6 linked regions of the Cricetulus griseus genome follow. The protein of the gene in region 1 purifies or fractionates together with the protein of each later gene. This does not show direct contact. Links are inferred from orthologs where the notes say so. Each region holds a gene or a part of one and is shown in the gene's direction. Other genes may lie near its edges.

Evidence for each region.
Region 2: the proteins of serine/threonine-protein phosphatase 2A 55 kDa regulatory subunit B delta isoform (region 1) and Ecsit purify together in Homo sapiens (affinity purification with mass spectrometry; 3 studies listed by BioGRID and IntAct, counting the BioPlex papers as one, with this or other methods). This does not show direct contact. The link is inferred for Cricetulus griseus from reciprocal best matches to the Homo sapiens genes PPP2R2D and ECSIT.
Region 3: the proteins of serine/threonine-protein phosphatase 2A 55 kDa regulatory subunit B delta isoform (region 1) and Ier5 purify together in Homo sapiens (affinity purification with mass spectrometry; 3 studies listed by BioGRID and IntAct, counting the BioPlex papers as one, with this or other methods). This does not show direct contact. The link is inferred for Cricetulus griseus from reciprocal best matches to the Homo sapiens genes PPP2R2D and IER5.
Region 4: the proteins of serine/threonine-protein phosphatase 2A 55 kDa regulatory subunit B delta isoform (region 1) and Ppp2r1b purify together in Homo sapiens (affinity purification with mass spectrometry; 4 studies listed by BioGRID and IntAct, counting the BioPlex papers as one, with this or other methods). This does not show direct contact. The link is inferred for Cricetulus griseus from reciprocal best matches to the Homo sapiens genes PPP2R2D and PPP2R1B.
Region 5: the proteins of serine/threonine-protein phosphatase 2A 55 kDa regulatory subunit B delta isoform (region 1) and Ppme1 purify together in Homo sapiens (affinity purification with mass spectrometry; 4 studies listed by BioGRID and IntAct, counting the BioPlex papers as one, with this or other methods). This does not show direct contact. The link is inferred for Cricetulus griseus from reciprocal best matches to the Homo sapiens genes PPP2R2D and PPME1.
Region 6: the proteins of serine/threonine-protein phosphatase 2A 55 kDa regulatory subunit B delta isoform (region 1) and Sertad4 purify together in Homo sapiens (affinity purification with mass spectrometry; 3 studies listed by BioGRID and IntAct, counting the BioPlex papers as one, with this or other methods). This does not show direct contact. The link is inferred for Cricetulus griseus from reciprocal best matches to the Homo sapiens genes PPP2R2D and SERTAD4.

Annotation. Positions count from the first base shown.
Region 1 is NC_048596.1:62,097,709-62,100,419, reverse strand, and holds the end of serine/threonine-protein phosphatase 2A 55 kDa regulatory subunit B delta isoform, read left to right. Parts: intron 1-1,691; coding exon 1,692-1,971; 3' UTR 1,972-2,211; downstream 2,212-2,711. UniProt on the Homo sapiens protein: Substrate-recognition subunit of protein phosphatase 2A (PP2A) that plays a key role in cell cycle by controlling mitosis entry and exit. Involved in chromosome clustering during late mitosis by mediating dephosphorylation of MKI67.
Region 2 is NC_048597.1:134,975,358-134,978,857, reverse strand, and holds part of Ecsit (evolutionarily conserved signaling intermediate in Toll pathway, mitochondrial), read left to right. Parts: intron 1-2,394; 5' UTR 2,395-2,418; coding exon 2,419-2,514; intron 2,515-3,432; coding exon 3,433-3,500.
Region 3 is NC_048598.1:36,655,457-36,659,640, forward strand, and holds Ier5 (immediate early response gene 5 protein), read left to right. Parts: upstream 1-1,384; 5' UTR 1,385-2,077; coding exon 2,078-2,998; 3' UTR 2,999-4,044; downstream 4,045-4,184. UniProt on the Homo sapiens protein: Plays a role as a transcription factor. Mediates positive transcriptional regulation of several chaperone genes during the heat shock response in a HSF1-dependent manner. Mediates negative transcriptional regulation of CDC25B expression.
Region 4 is NC_048597.1:162,627,407-162,631,425, forward strand, and holds the start of Ppp2r1b (serine/threonine-protein phosphatase 2A 65 kDa regulatory subunit A beta isoform), read left to right. Parts: upstream 1-1,219; 5' UTR 1,220-1,264; coding exon 1,265-1,378; intron 1,379-2,135; coding exon 2,136-2,226; intron 2,227-2,563; coding exon 2,564-2,664; intron 2,665-4,019. UniProt on the Homo sapiens protein: The PR65 subunit of protein phosphatase 2A serves as a scaffolding molecule to coordinate the assembly of the catalytic subunit and a variable regulatory B subunit.
Region 5 is NC_048596.1:99,195,970-99,199,469, forward strand, and holds part of Ppme1 (protein phosphatase methylesterase 1), read left to right. Parts: intron 1-1,673; coding exon 1,674-1,803; intron 1,804-2,758; coding exon 2,759-2,803; intron 2,804-3,500. UniProt on the Homo sapiens protein: Demethylates proteins that have been reversibly carboxymethylated. Demethylates PPP2CB (in vitro) and PPP2CA. Binding to PPP2CA displaces the manganese ion and inactivates the enzyme.
Region 6 is NC_048598.1:2,353,527-2,357,579, forward strand, and holds the start of Sertad4 (SERTA domain-containing protein 4), read left to right. Parts: upstream 1-1,253; coding exon 1,254-1,428; intron 1,429-2,579; coding exon 2,580-2,695; intron 2,696-4,053.

The DNA of each region.
Region 1 (2,711 bases):
TGTAGAAGTGAATTGCAGAGGACTCTAACAGTGAGTCCTCTTCTGCAAACTTAGTCCTGCACATTCATTTCAGGTGCTATCTCGAGAGTGTACCAAACCATGATTCTCATCTCCAGCCCCTCTGGTACTATGTATCCCTGTGTTTAAACAATAGGTTTGAATGAACAGGAATAGCTATGTATAGGATTCTTCTGAGTTTGCTTGGTGTTGAGTTTGGGACAAGGTTAACCATACTGCTAAAATATTTACAGGCAGCTAGGAAGAGCCCTGAGCAATGTAGTAACTTGAAGGACTTAGGCATTGTAAAGACCACTAGCCATGTAGGAATAAGAAAGCAAGACATAGAGGTCTGGATAGGAGTAGGAATGCTTGGAGTTTTCCAAGGAGAGGATAGATGCCATTGGTTGATTTTTCACTTGCCAGGAGAGTCAGAGGGCACTGTGGAATGTACTGGGTTTCTTTGTTTTGTTTGTTTTGAAACAGCATTATGTATTGTGTAGCCCAGGCTGGCCTCTAACTCTCTGTATGAGTAAACATGTTGGCACAAAGCTGTATTCCATGCACTTACAGGAAAATCAGGAGTTTGTGGTCATCTGCTACACAGCAAGTTTGAGACCAGCTTGAGCTACATCTTGTCTGTAAAAACATAAAAAAAATAGGATTGGGGGGGGAATCCTCACTGTATGGCAGCTGCTTATAACCCCAACAGTGGAAAATAATTCCCAACACTGGGACAGCAGACATGGGATCTCAGGGGCAAGCTGGACAGCTTGATTTGTTGGAATCAGAACAGTCTGATTCAGTGAGAAACCCTGCCTCGGTATGTAAAGTGGAGAGCAATTAAGGGAGAAACTTGTTCAGCCTCAGGCCTACGTGCATACATGGGCACACGTTTACTTAAATCAGCTTGCAAACCAAATACTCACTCTGACTCTTGCTTCAGCTGTCTAGGTGGTAAGATTATAGATGTGCACTATCCACTGTACCTAGCTTTAAAAGAAACTTAGAAATTAAATTAGTCACATTATTTGATAACTGAGTTAACATCCATTAGGAAATGTGACTGACATGATCAGTTTTGACTGTAATTGTTGATGAGATAGGTCGTCAGGCTTATGGTAACTATCAGTTCGAAAATAAGAAAGATAGGGTTTTGGGGGATGGGGGATTTTTTGGGGGGGGTTGTTTGTTTGTTTTTTGCATAGACCTTGGTGTCCTGGAACTCACTATGTAGACCAGGCTGGCCTCAACCTGAGAGAGATGTCTGCCTCTGCCTCCCAAATGCTGAGACTAAAAGTGACTTGGACAAAGTTAATTTCCTTCCTCCTCCCTTTCCTATCCCTACCCTGCTCTTCCCCTCTCTGTCTCTCCTCTTTCCTCCCCTTCTGTACATTAATTAGGAGAGATGGAGGAGTTCTATCCCCAGCCCCCATTTCAGACAGCTCACTTCCTCCTGTGCGAACCACTGCTAGGGATCTGACACTCTTCTGGCCTTTATAAGAATGTTTTTAAAATGATGGGTCTGTGACTTTCTCTTGGACATGAAAATATAGGGGGTTCACTGGAGAATCTGCACTGTTTCTTCCTGGTAGTGTAGAAATTGGGCCTCGGGAGGGTCTGCACTTTATGCCATTGCCCTGGGTTCTTCTTGCTCTGCTGGGTATTCAGTGTTCCCTCTCTCTCTTGAACAGTGCCATTATGACGGGCTCCTACAACAACTTCTTTAGAATGTTTGATAGAAACACTCGGAGAGATGTTACGCTGGAAGCCTCAAGAGAGAACAGCAAACCCCGAGCCTGCCTGAAGCCCCGGAAAGTATGTACAGGGGGTAAGAGAAAGAAGGACGAGATTAGCGTGGACAGTTTGGACTTCAATAAGAAGATCCTTCACACAGCCTGGCACCCCATGGAGAGCATTATTGCTGTAGCTGCCACCAATAACTTGTATATATTCCAGGACAAAATTAATTAAGGAAACTGACTGGAGGACCAAGTGTTGTCTTGCATAGTTAAGCCGGTTGTTTTCCCGTCAAAGAAATGGCATTGTCCTCTCCATTGAGAATAGTGACGCACTTCCACTTCCCTCATAGACACAGGAGAAGAAGGGGTCTCAGCTGGAGTCTTGGGAGAGATGAATGCTGCTGCTGAAGGGAAAACCTACTCGAAGCTGAATTGGTGGACTTTGTTCAATAAAGGCCGTTACTCAAATGTATTTATTTAAGTCTGAGCCTTCCTTTCCAATTTATAGACCAAAAAATTAACATCCAAGAGGAAAAAAAAATCATCACATCTCTCTCCAGCTCTTCCTTCTATCTCTGCCATCCATCCCTGGGCTTTAACCTGGACATGGTGTGGCCACCACCCACGGTCCTCTCTGGAGGACCTTGGAGCCCCCCAGTGGGCTGCAACACCACTGGTGCAAGGATACGCCCGAGCAGGCTCAGGCAGCTTTACTCACCCACTGTACCTGCCATCACACCTTCTGTGGAGCTACTTAATAAACACAACACACTGTGAAGTGTTTTTAAACCCAAATGCCATTGCAGTCTTTATTTGTTTCAGTTGCACATAATGAAATTATTCAGAATATTGCACTTAACAAATTGAGAATTTTTTGCCTTTGGCAGAATGGTTGAGCTTGTGCACAACTTCAGATTCTAAATGTAACTATACAAAATTGCCACTTGGTTTCTGTAGAAACTTCATCTTGGG
Region 2 (3,500 bases), on another chromosome or scaffold:
GTACATCCCTGAGTATGTATATACAGATGTGCCATGACACCAGCACAGAGGACAACTTGTAGAATTCAGGTCTCTCCTTCCACCATGTGGGTCCTGGGGATCAAACTCAGGTCCTTAGACTTGGCAGCAAGCATTTTTTACCCAGTGAACCATCTCACCAGTCCCATCTCTTTTTTCACCCTGGGTATTTGAGATAGAACTCAGGCACTTACCAACTGAGCTGTCTCGATGGCGGCTCTATTTCTTTCTCTTGCCTGAGTGCTACTACTGGAAGTTCTGGTGCAACACTGAGAAGTGGCCAGACTGCACACCCTTGTCTGGATTCTGAACTGTGGCAAAAGAATCTCTCATTGGGCATGGTGGCACATGTCTTTAATCCCAGATCTCAGGAGGCAGATCTCTTGAGTTCAAGGCCAGCTGTGGAGGGCGCAGCTTACAGACAGCACTAGAGAATGAAGAAACTGACACCTGTTTTCCATCCATAAGGCCATGAGTGGATGTGACTGCTATTCTGTAAAGCCAGCCCTCATCGAATCCCCAAGAATCCTGAGCATTCTCTGTCAATAGAGCCCATCCTCATGAAAGAGGTCGAGTGTGCTTTACAAAAGAGCCTGCTATTATGCTTATTCCCCCTAGACTTCTAAGTACTATTTCTCAGTCAATAGAACCCATCCTTTGCTGGGCAGTGGTGGCTCACACCTTTAATCCCAGTACTTGGCAGGCAGAGGCAGGTGGATCTCTGTGAGTTCTACAAAGCCAGTTCAAGGAAAGCCAGGGCTGCATAGAGAAACCCTGCCTCGAAAAACCAAAAAGAACCCATCCTGATGCTTATTACAAACCCTTCCTCCCTAGGCTCTTGTCCTGATCACTGTTCTCAGTCAGCAGAATCCATTCTTGTGGGAAAGGTCATAGGGGCTTTGCTACAGAGATGCACTTTGCAAGGCAGTTTCCATGTAGTCATGCCTAATGCTTTGTCAGGATAATTGTCACATGACATGCAAACTTTTTTTTCTAAAATTTTACTTTGTTTAAATGTGTAAGAAATAAACCACTTGACATTAGACTCCAGAAGTTTGGACCCAGCACCAGCTAAGTTGTGCTTAACCTCATCCAGATTGTCTCACCATTGATCATGACACTTACAGGGAACCCCACAGCCAGCCTGTTCTACATAGTGAGACCTTGTTTCAAACAAATAAAAAGTAAGAGTTTTCTGCATTGTCTGAAATAATGTAATTTGGGGTTTTTGTTCTATTAATATATTAAATAAATTTTCAGATATTAAACTACCCTTGCATTTTGGAGACAAATTCTCTTAGCTATGATGTAGAATCCTTTTTGTATGTTTGTAAATCCACTGCAAGAGAACTTTACAGCTATATTCAAGAGGCAATGATTTGTAGTTTTCTTAGTGTACCTGTGGGTTTTGGTATTAGTGTATCCAGGCCTCAGAGAACATGTTAGGAAGAGTTTTCATTATCCTTGCTACCATGGAAACTTTCTGGAGGTGGGTGTGTTGGTATACACCTGTAACCCCAGCACTCAGGTAGAAGCAAGAGGGTCAGTTTTAGATACATAGCAAGTATGAAGCCAGCCTGGGCTACAAGAAAACCTGCCTCAAAAAACAGGGAAAGAGCTGGGCGTTGGTGGTGCACGCCTTTAATCCCAGCACTTGGGAGGCAGAGGCAGGTGGATCTCTGTGAGTTCGAGGCCAGCCTGGTCTATACAGAGAAAGCCTGTCTTGGGGGAAAAAATGAAGAGTAACTTCCAGGTATGAGCCAGTGAGATGACTCGTTGTATAAAGGTACTTGCTGCCAAGCCTGAACAACTGAATTTAATTCTAAAACTCACATGGTAAAGAAAAACCAACTTCACGCTATCTCTTGACCTCCACAAAAGTGCATGTACAGTGGATGCATGAGGTAGGCACACATACACACAATAAATCAATAAATATAATTTTAAAAATTATCAGACTTGGGGCTGGAGAGATGGCTCAGAGGTTAAGAGCACTGGCTGCTCTTCCAGAGGACCTGGGTTCAGTTCTCAGCAACCATATGGTGGCTCACAACCGTCCGTAATGAGATCTGGTGCACTCTTCTGGTGTGCAGGCAAATATGCAGCCAGAATACCGTATATGTAATAAAAAATAAATTAAAAAAAATTGTCAGGCTTGGTGGCTCATACCTGTAATCTCAGCATTGGAGAGTGGAGTAGGAGTTTAAGGCCATCTTTGGCTGCAGAGTAAATCTGAAGCACGCCTGGGCTACATGATACTCTTATCTCAAAAACAACAAAATGAAACAAAAATAAACACTTGGGGCTTGGTAGACTAAGCTCTTCCATCTGAGCTGTATTGCCTGGCTCAATGATGTCTCAACTTCTCTTGACTAGGCTGGTGGCTGAATCTGCTGAGGCATGGGCTGGGTCCAGGCCAGCCTGCTGGTCCGAGGCCTGTCCAGGGGCTGGGGAAGCATCTGCAGTACTGCCCTCTCAAGAGCTGCCACCACTCAGGTAACCACAGGCTAGGCACTCATGACTGGAGGGGGAAGGCCTGTGCTTGACACTCACCTCTCAGGATCAGGCCATGGAAGTTAATGTGATCCTTGGCCTGTCTGTCCTGCTGATAGTCCTTGTTAGTTATTTTGCCATTGCCATACTGAAGTACAATGACCAAAAGCAACTTAAGGTCTCAGAGGGTGAGTCTGTAAAGACAGGGAAGGCATGGCAGCAGGTGGCCAGAGCAGGATGCTGAGGGCACCTCTCAAGCACACATAGGAAGGGGAGAGTGAACTGTAAATTGGTTGAAGACACAAATCCTCAAAGCTACCCCCAATGACCTACTTCCTCCAGGAAGGTGCCAATTCCCAAAGGTTCCATAATCCAAAAGCCCCTACTAGAGACCAAGTGATCAAATACATTGGGCTATTTCTCATTCATACCACAACAGTGTGTATACTTTTAGTTTGTGTATGTGTCACAGAGCCATATGTAATACCAAATGGCCGTAGAATATGATGTGTGGTTCAAGGTAGACTTAAAATCTCAATTCTCGGGCTGGAGAGATGGCTCAGAGGTTAAGAGCACCGACTGATCTTCCAGAGGTCCTGAGTTCAATTCCCAGCAACCACATGGTGTCTCACAACCATCCGTTATGAGATCTGGTTCCCTTTTCTGGTGTGCAGATATATATGGGAGCAGAATGTTGTATACATAATAAATAAATAAAATCTTAAAAAAAAAAAAATCTCAATTCTCCAGGCTTAGCCTTCTGGGGGTTGGGATTTCAGGTGTGTACCACCATGTGGCAGAGTACTTTGTCATAGTACCTAAGCTAGGGTTAGAAGCCACAGTGTCAGCGCTCCTCAGAGGCCCTGCATGATGTCCAGGGCACCTCTCCAGAAAAGCTAAGCAGCATTCATGCTCTCCCAGGTGTCCCTCCAGGCCCCACGAGGCCTCCACTGCAGTGCAGTTATACATAAGGATGACGTGTCGTTGGT
Region 3 (4,184 bases), on another chromosome or scaffold:
GGATTGATGTCCTTTGACTTTTTAAAAATAAAATCAGAATGATGTTCGGTGGGTGTGGTATTGCACACCTTTAGTCCCAGCATGGGGAAAGCCAGCTAGTTCCAGGACAGCCAGAACTACACAGAGAAATCCTGTTTCGAAAAACCAAAAATAAATAAATATTTAAAAGAAATTCTGATTAAAATAAATAAAGCTTTGGGGCTGGAGAGATGGTTCAGTCATTAAGAGCACTGGTTGCTCTTCTAGAGGTCCTGAGTTCAATTCCCACCAACCACATGGTGACTCAGAATCATCTAGAATGGGATCTGGTGCCCTCTTCTGTCCTGCAGACATAGGAGAAGACAGAGCACTCATAAGAAAGGAAGAAAGAAAAGAAAGAAAGAAAGAAAGAAAAGAAAGAAAGAAAGAAAGAAAGCTTTGAAAGACCCAGGTCCTGCACCTGTCCATGGTCACTAGCCAAGTCACTGAGTCCACTCAAGATGGATTGTCAGTTGGCAATAAATTTAAGCAAACTGTGTTAGACAGGAGCATGGGACATCTCTGTGCAGTTGTCTTAAGTACCACTTATTATGTGGCATCAGTAAATGTACCCATGAGATGCACTATTACCTGGTACATTCTCTGTGTTCCCCTGAACAGGTCATTTGTAATGCAGCAGGCTCTTATCAGAACCTCACTAAGCTGCTCTCCTGTGGTCAAGCCTTACTCTCACTAGTATTTTTTTCTACATAAACACATTGTTTGGAGAAACCCTACTGTGGGATTAGGTCAACTTTGCACACAGGCTCCATGAAAGTGGCACTTAATTTTATGGTGTCTAAGAGTTGTCATGCATCTTTTGTATAATAAAGTGGGTGTATACATGATTTCTCCTTTTTAGAATTGAAACTAAAAGACTATGAGGTAATTTACAAAGTCAGAAGGCACTAATACAATCTTGTGGCCCCTTTGCTAGGTACTTTTAAGACTCAGTGGATGGAACCCTTTCCCCATACTATTAGCTTGACATAAAACAAATTTACAACATTATTATGGGAACCCAGAACTTCTCTATTTGTATTTTTAGAACTTACTAGATTTCCCCAAGTGTGGATTAGTTCAGTTACTGTGTTAATAAACAAACAACAAATAAAAACAACCAAACAAGCAAACACTTCGGAGAAGTAGGTAACACCTCCTATTTATTCCATTTAATCTGTGTGACAACCGAGAATTTAGGGAACTAAGTGAAAGATGCCAGCTTTAGGTGAGAAACAATGACTTTGTACTTGAACACTGTTCCTTGATAGGCCAGAAGCTTGGGAATTTCTAGAACCTCCCCTTTTGCTTGTGGTCAGATGCTGAAAGTGTGACGCTAATGGGAAAGGATCTGACTCCAAAATAATATCTCAAATACCTCGTACTGTTTGTCGTTCAGGATTGTCCCTGCTTTGTATTGCCATAGCTTCTATTCCTGCCAAGAAATGGTGTGAGCAGCTGGAAACTGCGCACGAAAGGAGCCGAACTTTACTATGTAGTAGATTCCAGCACTCCAAACCAACGAAAGTTCCAATAGTCCGCTTCTAGTGAGGTTGGCTAAGACAGCTCACAAATCGGAATTTGTGACGACAGACAGTTCTGTGGGCCTCACTCACCTTCACCGTTACCTCGGACCCAAATCCCACCGCACTTGGTCCCTGGGCCGCCTGCGATCGCCCTCTTTAAGAGCTTGCTCCGCGGGACTAACGTTTGAACCGGCCCTGGCGCCCCTCCTCCGCCTCCGATTGGCTGGGGACGGCGCACGAGGCACATCGGCCCGCCCAGAACGGTTGGCGGCGCTTTGTGATTGGCGTTCGAGGAGTCTATATAAGGCGCTGTGTGGGGCTCGTTCCGCTCAGTTTAGCGACCAACGCAGATCAGGTTTGTTGTCTGCGGCGAAGAGGCGGAGGGGGCTACGCATCACCGGGTCTTTTCTCCACCGAGCTTTCAGCCGCCGAGGGTGCACCCCAGAGGCGATCCTGTTTCCGCCTCCCTCTCCTCTCGCAGCTTCGGCGTTCACCCCATCGTCTAGGCGCCACTCTCGAGAAGCGGAGGCAGGATGGAGTTCAAGCTGGAGGCTCACCGCATCGTCAGCATCTCCCTCGGCAAGATCTACAACTCGCGGGTCCAGCGCGGCGGCATCAAGCTACACAAGAACCTCTTGGTGTCGTTGGTGCTGCGCAGCGCCCGCCAGGTCTACCTGAGTGACCCGTGCCCTGGCCTCTACCTGGCCGGCCCTACGGGTATCCCGACGGTGCCGCCGCCTCAGCAGCCCGGAGAGCCGGTGGCCGGGCCACCCTCCGGTTGGGGAGAGCCGCCTCCGCCGTCCGCCCGCGCCGCCTGGCCGGAGCCCGAGCCGCAGCCTCAGCGCCCTTCGGTGTGCCACACGCCGGGAACGGGAAGCTCGGAGCCGGTGGCCGCCGTGGCCGGAGCTGGGGACGCTCTCCCGGGCCGAGAGGCAGACTCGGCGGCAGCTGCTTGGGGCCGCGTGGAGCGTCCGCGCGCGATGGCTTCTGGAGGCGGCCCGGACACGTGCCCCGAGGGGCCCCGGGCAGTGCGCCGCCCGTGCGGCTGTCCCCCGGCCCGGGAGGAGCAGCCAGCCGAGGACGGTTCCCCCGCGCCACCCGCCCCGTGTCCCAGGAAGCGCGGCGCAGCGGGAGTGGGTGGTGGCCGCGCTGGCTGCCCGGCGCCCGGCTCGACCCCTCTCAAGAAGCCGCGCCGGAACTCGGAAGAGCAGCCGAGCACCGGCGAGGAGGACACGGACACGGACGAGGAGATGGAGACCGGGAACGTGGCAAACCTCATCAGCATCTTCGGCTCTAGCTTCTCGGGACTCCTACGGAAAAGCCCTGCGGGCGGCCGGGAGGAAGAGGAGGCGGAGGAGAGCGGCCCGGAAGCCGCCGAGCCTGGGCAGATCTGCTGCGACAAGCCGGTGCTGAGAGACATGAGCCCCTGGAGCACAGCCATCGTGGCCTTCTGAGTCTCCGGGGCCCGAGCGGCTGGAGCTTGAGCAGCGGGCGTCCCCGAAGTTCGGCCGTGGCCTTTCCCGGCCCCGAGGACGAGCCGAGACCGTAGGCGCTGGGCGCGTAGGGGGAGACTGGTTGCTGCCGGGCAGCACATCGCCCCGAACGGGGCAGCCCGGCTGGGCCGTGGCTCTCGAGTCTCACGCAGAGAGACCTAGAGTTGGAGGCTTATCGGAAGAGGACGATCGATCGTTAAATTTTGTGTCTGTGTGTGACTGTGTGTGTGTGTGTGTGTGTGTGTGTGTGTGTGTGTGTGTGTGTGTGTGTGTGTGTGTGTGTCCGTGTGTAAGTTTGTCTTGTGTTGTTGAGACTGTTCTGTGGTTCTGGAATGCACCACCCCTTCCCCGGGGCTTGAGACTTTTGGGGGCGCAGACAGGGACTTTCCTCTGCCAGCAGCACAGAAAAGGAAGCTGCTGAATGGCTCGAGGCAGGGGAGTTCCCCATTTGATCTTGGGGGAGAGAGGGACTTTACACACTCTCATGAAAGCTAGAACCTCATCGGCGCGCCGAGTGGCGTTTCCTCACAGGATTTCCTCAGACGAGAGGGAGTTCGCCTGGAGTAGAGACTTGTATTATTTTTCTCCCTCCCTACCTTTCTCTGGCACGGAAGAAGCGCTTCTACCCTGTGATTACTCTGGGACAGCAGAACATTAAGGGACCTTCAATTCCTCAAAGGGGATAAAAAAGCTTGGTGAACTTCACAGAAGAGTTCAAGCTTGGAAATACGGAGTTTATAGAGAAAAGATATATTTTTAAAAGCTCTAGCTCAGAACTTACTACACAGTGCTTTTAAAAAGTGTTTAATGAAACAAAGTTTACAGACGAGCTCTAAGTGGAAGGACCTTATGGTTTTGTAGATACGGTGACTCCAGTCTTTGTTGTATAAAGGTTGGGGGAGCTGATAAGGTTTTTGTACAGTATTTTCTCCTCCTCTGTATTGATTTTTGTATAAAAATGTAACTTTACGTGTCTAACACGTATTAAATATTTTGAAGCAACTCCATTGCCTGCTTGTATGTAATCACCTGTCTGGGTTTTCAACAAAGTGGGGGGAGGGGCAGTCAGTCTGGGAAATGGAAGGTGTGGTTCTTAAGAGTCAGTCATTGACAGACTAGGGACATTGTTGGTTGTCTTAAGTATCAA
Region 4 (4,019 bases), on another chromosome or scaffold:
GTCCAGCCGGTGCCTTATGGGAATCCAAAAGTTATCAAAATAAAAATAAAATGAAAGCCTTCAAGCATACATTCACAGACCCACTTTGAGAAAAGAAAACAAAAACCAAAACTGCTGAAGTCTGTTGGTTTTCGAGCTTTGACTACTAAAGACTGTTTCCTGCTAAGAGTCCCATATTTTAAAAACAAAAACAAAAAACAAACCCTTACCTCCTAAATTGCATTTATTAGTAACTTAACAATTTCATTAAGGCACAGAATAGTGTCATTTGAGAACTTGTGATGGTCGTACAGAACTACCAATCTAAGCTGCTTCATCTTAGTCTAAAACATGAAAAGACAGGGCATTCAAGTTACTTGGTGCAATTACAGAGGGCAAGTGAAAACTTAATCCTTTAAGTTCTGTAAGAAACAACGCCCAGGACCACCTCCTCTTGAGGTCCTCTAGGAGGACTTCTGGAGGTCTAGGGAGGCCGGTCCTTCCACCCCACCGAACCCGGGGAGATTAAAACTGTGCATAGTTAAGCTTGGTGGTTGGGCTTCTTGCTGTAGAGCAGTGAAAAAAGGAAGACAATACAACAGAAGGCGCCATTCCAGTACCACACTGAAAAGAAACACAAAAACAAGAGAGCATGTTTTAAACAACTTGCGTGGAAAAAATATTGACTGGGGAGTTTGGACAGCACTGTTCATTTTCCCTCACCGCACTCATTATTTGTCTTAAGTAGGAGGAGCCAGCCACGATTTTGGCAAACAGGCCAGAGGAAGAGCTGGAGGGGTTGTGTGGAGGCTTCTCGCCCAGGGGGAAATCAGGGCTCAGACCCAGTGGCTCCAGGCCACCATGAAACTGGGGGAGGTGCTAAAGTTTCTTCCTCCTGGCCTAGGGTACAGTCTCTGGCCTGGAGTTCTACTGAGGTTCGGCACCCATCACTCAGGCAGACCCCTCTCCTTCAGAGCACAGCGAGCAGAGGATGAATCCCTGCCCATGTTTCTTTCGGCTGAGGAAAGGATGCAGGGGTTCCATTGGTATTCTCAGCCCGCCCTTCTTCTGGAGTTCAGACCTCCAGTTTCAGCAATGGGGGTCAGGACGGAGCCTCTGCGCCCAGGCTAAAAACTCGACTCCTTTGCTTCCCCAGAGCCGGCCGATTGGATTTAGCCCCGCCTTCCCGGGCGTGGGGCGTGGCCGGGGCGTGGGGCGTGGCCGGGGCGCGGGGCGTGGCCGGGGCGCGGGGCGTACGGCGGCGACAAGCCAGAGGAGAAAGAACATGGCGGGCGCAGCGGGGCCCGGGGCCGGTCCGGGTGCAGCCGGCGGAGATGGAGATGATTCGCTCTACCCGATCGCGGTTTTAATCGACGAGCTCCGCAATGAGGACGTGCAGGTACTAGGCTGGGGCTGGGGAGTCGAGGAGAGGGCGGAGGCGCACATGGTGGAGAAGCGGGAAGGCCGGCTCAGCCGTGGGGGCGGCCCCGGGGACGGCAGAGCTGTATTCAGCGCTCGTAGGGGACGGGGTGGCGGAGGCTCCGTGGTGGTCCGCCTGGACTCCCAGCAGCTCGACCTCGAGCCTCTGGGGTGGTGGCACCCGGCTGCTCCGGCAGTGGGCGGGGAGCCAAGCCAGTTCCCGCCTCCGGTGGACGAGCACCGGTGGGTTGCTGGTGGGTTGCGGGGCCGCCCGGGAGCGGAGGAGCGGCCCGGGCACCAGGCTGCCTTTGAAGCGCTGCGGAGTGCCTGTCTCTGCTGGCAAACTGGCCTGGCTAGTTGGGTGGGAAGAGCGCCACAGCTGATTAACACAGATGAGTGGTGCATCAGTTGTGATGGAACTTTTCTCTGAAAAGGGAGGAGTTGTGTTTAACCGTTTCACCTGCTTCCTTCGGTCCAGAGTTCTCTCTTTTCAGAATCTCTCACTGCCCGCGTGTTTTCATTCATTCATTTCTTTCCCGGCCCTTCAGTGTTCTCCCTAGGATAGCCTCTGGCTAATGACGTGTTTAAACGGTCCTTGAGTTATTTTAGGAATAAGATCTAAGTGAAAGACTCATCCTCGTTATATACTGTATACCAGTGTTTCACCTATTTGCTTCTTTTGACCTGAATTGCAACCATCTCTTTGCTTTGTTCTTCTTCCCACTTTATTTTTGAAGCTCCGTCTCAACAGTATCAAGAAGTTATCTACTATTGCTTTAGCACTCGGAGTGGAAAGGACTCGAACTGAACTGCTGCCTTTCCTTACAGGTATGTGTCCTTTAAAGAAAGCCATTTTCCATTGGCTTTCAAACTGTTTTTAGTTTGTTACGTAGTGTAGCAATAAGTACTAGAAGGAGCAGGTGCCTTCTGCAATGTGTATAGAAAAAAATGTTAAGCCAGACATACTCAAACATAAGGCATGTAACTAATGGGAAGGTAGTTGACATGGGATATTAATTTCTTAGTAATTCTGTGAAACATTCATGAAGACTTCTGATTTAGACAAGGAAGACAATACTATTTAGAATTGTAGTTGCAGCAGCTGTGTAAGTACTAGCTTAGTGGCACTTGTCTCTATGGGCTAACCAACTGCTGTTATTTTCAGATACAATTTATGATGAAGATGAGGTGCTGTTAGCTCTTGCTGAGCAGCTGGGAAATTTCACTGGTTTGGTGGGAGGTCCTGACTTTGCCCACTGTCTGCTGGTGAGTACTTACCTATGGCCTACCCTTCTGGAACTCTGTAGGATTAACCACATTTATTATCTGGTGATAGGCACACTGCAGCATTTTTTTTTTTTTTATAGTATTTTTTTATTTAATTTTTTACATTCCAATCCCATTCCCCCTCCCTTCTCTCCTCTCCCCGCCACCTCCCATCTTCTCCTTGGAGAGGGTAAGGTATCTCCTAGGAAGTCTACTAAGTCTGTCCCATCATCTTGTTGAGGTAGGACCAAGGTACCTCTCCACCCGACACACCCTGTGTCTAGGCTGGGCAAGGTATCTCTCCATATAGAATGGGCTCCACTAAGTCAGTTTGTGCATTAGTGTTAGGTCTTGGACCCACTGTCAGTGGCCTCATATATTGTCCCAGTCACACCATTGCCACCTATATTAAGGTGGTCTAGTTGGGTCTTATGCAGATCCCCCATTTGTTAGATCAGAATCAGTGATCTCTCACTAGCTCAGAGCAGTTGATTCTATGGGCTTCCCCATCATGGTCTTGACTCCCTTTGTTCATATTATGGCTTTGATTATACTCCAGGAGCTTGGCCTAATGGTTAGTTTTGGATTTCTGCATCTGCTACACTGCAACATTTTTTATGTAAGTCTTTTTATGGGCAGGTGGTAATAATGTTGAGTGAATGAATAATGTAGGCACTTTAGCTCAGCTCTTGTTTTTATCAGCTGGATATAAGAACTTGTTTCTGCCTCTGTAGGCTTGTCAGAGATGGGGAGGGAAGGGACTTAATTTTTTTTGTTTGTTTGTTTGTATTTTTGAGACAAGGTTTTGCTATTGTAGTCTTTCCTGGATTGAAACTGTATGTAGACCAGGCTGACTTTGAACTCAGAGATCCTCCTGCCTCTGCTTCTGGAGTACTGAGATTAAAGGTATGCCCCACTATGCAGATGAACTAAGCCTTAAAGGGTGACTAGAAACTGACCAGCTGGACAAGGCAGGACCATCTGTTTTAGGGCTTTAAATATTGAATATATGATGCTGGCTCCCATGATTCCTAGTTCTACTATGAACCATTCTGTAGAACTCCAGACATAGATGGGTAACAGATAAAGTGGAGACTAGTAGAAATCAACAGAGTTATAGATGGGCTGTCTCCAGCTATCCAGTTATACCAGCACAACCTAGAAGATAGCTGTTGTTTTTAGTGGTGCTAGATATTGAAGCCAGGGCCTTTGCATGCTGGGTATGTTCTAGTTCAGTGAGCTGCCGTCCAGAACTAGAAGGCATTCTTAAGTCCTTCATCCTCCCTCACATCTGAGCAGTTTGTCCTGTAGACTCTGCATCTATACCAATCCATATGAAAAACACACTCATGTGC
Region 5 (3,500 bases), about 37 Mb from region 1:
AGGCTGGCCTTGAACTCAGAGATCCACCTGCCTCTGCCTCCTGAGTGTTGAGATTAAAGGCATGTGCCAACACTGCCTGGCTTTTAAAGTATTTTTTATTTAATGAGGATCTTCCTGTCATCCTTGAGATCACTGATCAGAATAGTGCTTTATACTACGTTAGAATTTACAAGCATATAAATAATTTTTCATCTGTTTGGGCCTTGCAACACATTGTAAGGGATTTCCCTCTCATTACAACATAGTAGAATCTTCACTCATAAATTAGACTTGGGAGTATGAGGCAGAGGGATGACAGATTCAAGGCCTGCTTGAGCTGAGCAATTCAGAGAAACTGGTCTTAAAAATTACAAGAACAAGGAAAGTGAAAAGAGCCAGGCATGTAACTCAAGGGACACAAGCATGCTGAGGCCCTAGGTCATCCCTAGTACCTCTCTCTCTGTCCACCCACAATGAAGAGGTCTGCCCAAGGAAATTAGCAAACAGTAGCTTTGGAATCAAGGCAGTGAGTTACATTTGTCTTTCATGTGCTGTTTCACACTTAACCATCACTAGTTATTATTGTAGAGGTACCCTTGGTACAGGTACCCACTCACTCATAGTCACACAAAAAAAAAATTAAAGCAGGTCTTTTAGATGCTCCTGATTTTTAATGCCTATTCTTTGTTCTTGGCAGTGTTTTAAAATAAGCACCATTGTATGATTTTGTAAACTCCAGAAGTGTGCTTGAAGGGGCAAGTGCAGTTATTAAGCAATGACCATCCATAAGCAGTGACTCCCCATTTCTCCTAGCCAAGACAATCACTAATCTGAAGATTTGCTTAATCTGAACATTACATATAGATGGAATTGTATAGCATGATCTTTTGTGCCTGGCTTCTTTTACTGGATGACAGACTTTTTAAGGTTCATCCGTGTTGTTGCATACATCATACATCGGTGTTTTCTTTATATGTCTGAAAAATATCCCATTGTATGAATATGCCACATTTTAATATATTCATCAATTAATATGTAGATTTTTATAGCTGTTCATTATAAATAATATTACTGTGAATATCCATTTCAGCCTTGTATGTGGACATTTTTTTTTTTCCTGAGGTGTATACATGAGCAGGGAATTGCTAGGTGAAGTGGGAACTGTGGGAATTCTGAGAAAATGGTTTTCAGAAGGCTGTAACACTTTTCATTCCTATTAGAGGGAATCCTGGTGGCTATAAAATAGTATCTCATTGTGGGAGGTTTGGGTTTGGTTGGTTTGATTTTTGTAAGATAATGTTTAGTCCAAGCTGGTCTCAGACTAGCAATTCTCCTGCTTCAGATCCAGAATACTTGGATGACAAGCAGATGCCGCCACACCAGGCTCATGTTTACATGTTGCCTGTTGCTGTTGGGAGGTTGAGGCAGGAGGCTCATGTGAGCCAGAAGAAAACAAATAGGAATAGAAAAGAAGCCATCAGATTATCCAAAAGTAGAAGTCAAGACAGCCTGCAGCACTGTAGGAAGGTCCTCGAGAAGTGCAAGTCCCCTTCCTTCCTTCCTTCCTTCCTTCCTTCCTTCCTTCCTTCCTTCCTTCCTTCCTTCCTTCCTTCCTTCCTTCCTTTCCACAGACACGCTTTCTGCCCTGCTCCTCAGGGGTTGCCCTAAGACTCACTTTGCTTTTATTCCTGCAGACCAAGAAGGACCATCCATACACCTGGAGAATTGAACTGGCAAAAACAGAAAAGTACTGGGATGGCTGGTTTCGGGGATTATCCAATCTCTTTCTTAGTTGTCCTATTCCTAAACTGCTGCTCTTGGCTGGTAAGTGAGTGTGTGTGTGTGTGTGTGTGTGTGTGTGTGTGTGTGTGTGTGTGTGTGTGTGTGTGTGTGCTAAACACGTGTGTTTAGCTGGAATGATCAAATACCATAAATTGGATGGCTTAAAGAACTGAAATCTAATTTCTTACAGTCTGGGGGCTGAAAGTATAAGATCAGAGCATGAGTCGAGTTAAGTTCTTAGAGTTCTCTTCCTGGTTTGCAGACCTCTCTGTGCTTTTATATGGCTAGGAGAAAGCAAGACAGCTTTCTGGATCTTGCAAGGACACTAATCTTACTGTGTCAGAGACCCCCACCCTTATAACCACATATTGCCTTTTTGTAGACCCTATTGTCAAATACACTGGGGGCTAGGGCTTCACCATGAATTGTGTTTAGTCCATAGAAGTGTGAGTGAGTACTGTCATCTAGATGTGAAATGAGGTTTAAACACCCTCCAGTGCTGCATGGTGTTGACCTAGCCTTTGTACCCAGAGCTACAGACAGTGTTGTAACAACATTCTGAATACTGTGAGAATTGAGACAGTAAAATCTTGTTTTCATCTTTAAATGAGCATGATTGGAGCTGGAGTTAAGAATATTTGTTACTCTTACAGAGAACCAGATTTGGTTCCCACCACCCACATTGTGGCTCACAGCCATCTGTAACTCCAGTTCTAGGGGATCCAACACCCTTTCCTGACCTCTACAGGCACCAGGTACATAAGTGGTACACATGTATACATTCAGGCAAATACTCACATACGTAAATGAAATAATGAATCTAAGAAAAACCATAATTACCCAGAAATCTCAACTTGAAATTTTCATCTGGTGAGAATATACATGTGCCAGTCTGGATTGAGCGTGTTTATAACTCTGAGGCAGCATTTACTCAGTGAAACCTATTTCCCAAGGCCTTTTCTAGGAGCTACTCACAGATTCTCCTGTTTTGTTCTAGGTGTTGATAGATTGGATAAAGATCTTACCATAGGCCAGATGCAGGGTAAGTCATCCAGAAATTGTGCCCATGGATCCTTTTCTGAGGGCAGGGAAGTGGGTAGTTATATGAAGATTGATATTCTGAGATAGTGAGGTACAGTGGAGAGAGTTTGAACTTATAGTTGCGCCCCACTGGACAGCCACCTCTTCCAACCACCAGTCGATTATGGGCAAGTATCTTCCCCTTTCTGAAGAGTGATGCCCCCCACACACACACACGCACACGCACACTCGCGTAAAAATGAGTTATTACTCTAGCTGTTTCCAGGATGGAAGAGTTCAAATGAGGTGATGCGCCTGAGAGTTATTAAGTATTACATAGGCATCTAACATAGTGAACAGCGAACAGCCATAATTTTCTAGTGTTTTCTTATGTTCAGAGTTTCTAGAAAAGAGAAATTGTGTGAATACCCGATAGTGTGGTCCTTTAGAAGACATCATGGTGAGGAGGGAGAGGGGGCTTCAGTTCGGGGGTGAGATTTAGACCCTGCTCTCCTAGTAATCTGTGTCAGCTGGAATGCTCTTAATGTATAAAATGAGAGCATCAATGCCAGCCTCCAGGGTTTACAAGTATAGTGGGCCTGGGCATCACAATACTTGTGTGAACAAATGTGAGGGCTGTGCAGCAGTGGACGAAGCAGGAGCCATTTTTTTTTTTTTTTTTTGTCTCTATGTTCAAATCATATGCATTAATAATATAA
Region 6 (4,053 bases), on another chromosome or scaffold:
ACAGCAGTGATTCTCAGCCTTTGGGTAATGACCCCTTTGGTAGTCAGTCTTTCACAGGGGTCACCTAAGACCTTCAGAGGACAGATACTGACAATGTAATTCATAACAGTAGCAAAATTACAGTTACCAAGTAGTGATGAGATAATTTTATGGTTGGGGCGGTCACCCCAGCATGAAGACCTGGTTAAAGGGTTGCAGAGTTAGGAGGGTTGAGAACTCCTGTCTGAAAGGACCCAGGAATCGGAGTTGCTGGGTCTGCTCCCTGGCCCCAGACTCCCTTTCTCCCTGGAACATACTCTTGACCCTATTCTGAGGGTCACCACTGAGCCCCATGGAGGTGGCCTCATAGCCTGGATTACACAGGGTCAGAGTCTGGGAGGCCAAGCAGAGCTTCTGAGGCCAGGCTGGCTCCCAGCGTCCTAAGGTCTGGGTGGGAACCAGAGAGGAGGGCAGACGGCAATGTGTTGACTCTTGGAAAGTTCCTGCCTGGTATCTGGCTTTACAGTTTAAAGAGTTGCTGGCTGCCTCTGCCCAGAGCCCTGGCTCCTGTTTAATATTCTGCTGCCTGGTTAGTGTTGGGCTTGGCTCCTGTGGGGCTGCAACTCACGGCTGGAAACGGGAGCCAATTTTCTGTCTTCATCTCACAGTGTTGTGACTGGAGGCAGACCCAGTTCAGGCCGACAAGGGCTGTGGAAACAACTGCCGAGTGTCTGCCTGCTTCACCCCGGGAGGAGAGAGTGTGGCCGAGGAACTGGGAGGAGAGACAAGTGCTGGAAGGACCCTAGGACTTCTGTCCTGCCCCTGTCCCCCTCCCCCATTGACAGCAGATTTTATCAAAGGGGACTCCTAGAGGCTTGAATAGAAAATTGATTTCACCTTATTAATAGAAGGGAAGCACAGGGCTTCTAGCCCTTCCTCTTAGAGGTGCGTTCGTAAGATCGGGAGGAAAATGTATTTAGGATACAGAGCAGCTGTCTGAGAGGGGCTGAGCGGATCCGAGAACAATAAGAGTGGGCTCTAAAGATCCGCCCTGAGATGCAGGCTGCCATTTGCAGTAGCTAAGCTGAGAGCAGCAAGAGTTTGCTGAGGTGTCCTGGGAAAGGTAGTCTGACGGTTTGGTATGAAGGGAAAGGAGAGGAACTGAAAGCCTTCCCAAGTACCAGAGACCATCATCCTCAGGCTGGCTCCTAACCCAGGCTGTATATCTCTCCAACTCACCCACCCCTTCTTTTCCAGGTCTAAGGCTGTCAGAGATGACGCTGGTTCTGTCCATGAATAGATTCTGCGAGCCCATTGTCTCAGAAGGAGCTGCTGAAATTGCTGGGTACCAAACGCTATGGGAGGCTGACAGCTACAGAGGTGTGAGCCCCCCAGGGCCAGCACAGCTTCCTTTGCAGGGAGACCGAGGAGCCAGCCCTCAACTGGCAGGTATTGCCTTTGGCCTTCTCCTTAGGAGGTGGTGTTCAGTCAGGCTGGGCTCCTTGGGAAATCCTACTTAACTTGCTCTACAGTCCATCTGCTGTGGACATCCTGGAGCAGTGGGTTTTTGGTTTTTTGTTTGTTTTTTAAGGGTCTGAACCAGATACTGAAAGTTTGGATTCAGGCTTTGTGTCCTTGGGAAGTGAATGGTCCTCGGGGATGTACACATCACAGGGCCCACAAGCAGAGCTTCTGCCCCACCAGGCATAAAGAAGTCTGCACCCTTACCACAGCTTCAAGCTGCTCTTCTTCATGAAGCACACAGTTGATAAGAAAATAGAAATATATTCTTCTGGGCTTTAATTCTAATAGTCTCACATAAGTTCCTTTGAGTGTTTATAAAGCGATAGTTTTTTTTTTTCCTTTTAAAAAGAAACTGAAATGAAAGCTTCATGAAAGTCTAGTTTCTGAAAAGGTTTTAAAGTCCTCAAAGGAGGCCCTGCTGTATTCATGGTTGACGTGTTAACACTACCAGAGTGAAACAGCATTTAATCACTCCAAATGTTAAGCTTCCATATGTAACTTCGTATCTTAAAAGAAAAGCTATTATAACTCCATGTATGTATGCATTTGTTTACTAACCCTGAAATCAATTCGTACCCATGATTTACTACCTCTGTGAGGTGGGGTCTGAGTCAATGCTGGTATTGCTTTGGACAGGGTCTCTCTCTCTCTCTCTCTCTCTCTCTCTCTCTCTCTCTCTCTCTCTCTCTCTCTCTCTCACACACACACACACACACACACACACACACAACACACCACCACCACCACCACCACCACCACCACCACCACCACCAACGCCATCCATGAATTCCGCTGTTTGCCTGTACAGAGAGTTAAGATCCCAGGCATTTAGTAAATGCTGAAAGGTGGGTGACATTTTCCTCTGATGTGGCCTGGAAATCTTTACCTTCCCAGACTCACAGGATTCAGTCCGCTGGTAGCTGCAACTATGAAGACAAATGTTTGTTTTTCATCACTGCGTATACAGTCAGGGATGTAGCCAAGTTATCCACTCCAGGGAAAGGAAATGAAAGCATTTTGCTTGGAGAACCGCTGGCAGGCTTCGTGTCATTTGTCTATCTGATTTATTACTGCAGGATCACATTACAGGGGAATTCCAAATCCTATAAGCACATCCAAGGTCACATATTTCAAGAGGAAGTACACAGAAGAGGAGGATTCTCACCCAACACTCAGCAGCTGCAGCCGTAAAGTATGTTTAAACAGCAGTTACTTTATTAACAGTTACAATGTCTTGTGGCACTGGCTTGAACCATTTCCAGACATTAAATTGTCCCACCCAAGCAACAGAAGAGAGCCACTTCTTTATGGGACTACATGAATCACTGTCACTTTGGTGGGGGGAACCTGTACTGGATAGCACTAAGTCAATTTGTCACAAGCTAAAGTCATCTGAGAGGAGGGAAGCTCCATTGAGAAAATGCCTCCGTAAGATCAGGCTGTGGGCAAGCCTGTAGGGCATTTTCTTAGTTAGTGATTGGTGGGGGAGGCCCAGTCCATTGTGGGTGGTGCCATTCTTGGAATGGTGGTCCTGGGTTCTATAAGAAAGCAGGCTGAGCAAGCCAGTAAACAGCTCTCCTCCATGGTCTCTGCATCAGCTCCTGCCTCCAGGTTCCTGCCCTGTCTTGAGTTCCTGTCCTGATGTACTTTGGTGATGGCCTACAGTGTGGAAGTGGAAACCAAATAAACCCTTTCCTTCCCAAGTTGCTTTGGTTATGCATTTCATCACAGCAATAATAACCCTGACTAGGGCAGGGCCTGTGTTACTTTTCACAAGTACTTGAAGAACCAGACAGAGATTCTCTGCCTGGAAATAACCACAGTATGTACGGAAGAACACATCTTTTTGTGGATAATTTAATACTCTGGGGCTGCACTGAGGCCCAGGGCTGCTCTTTGATGTCACCTGTTGGGAGATGCACTTGGCTTTCCTGACTCTGGTCTGAGCTCTGCCCACAAGGCTACTTCTGTGTGCTGGTTGAGGTGGTTGTTCAGGAGTTTTCCTGGGGGGGGGTCAATATATTGTCCCTTGGATACGTACATAGAGCTGTTTGTGATACGTTGTGACATATGTCAAGTTTGTTAAAATCCAGAATTAATTCCCAAGGAAGGACCAAAGATAGCTGTTTTTCTTTCCACACAAAATAAGGAAATACAAGTGCATGAGGTGAAGGACCGGGTGCGTGTCTAAGCTTAGGTTCGTTTTCCTCTGTGGTTGCCTCCCCTCCAGAACTGTGCCTCCAGCTCAGCTTCTTCCACCTCTCTGTCCCCACCCCGCCGGCTGCCTCCCCTTGCCCACCCCTCTCCAGGCTTTAGCAGTTGCTTTTGCCTGTTTGTCAGGAGGCACCCATGTTTGTATCTGTAGTTCCTGTGGGTGCTGCATCTGTGTCCACTTTCCAGTTGCTAGTGAGATGTGTCAGCTCTGGAGAAAGTTCAAAGTCTACCTGGGCTTCGTTGTGAGTTCCCAGGCCGCCTAGGCTACATAGGCAAGGACATGTTTGCTGCTTTTTTTTTTTTCACACACACAAAAAAATGTTAACAATAATAGCA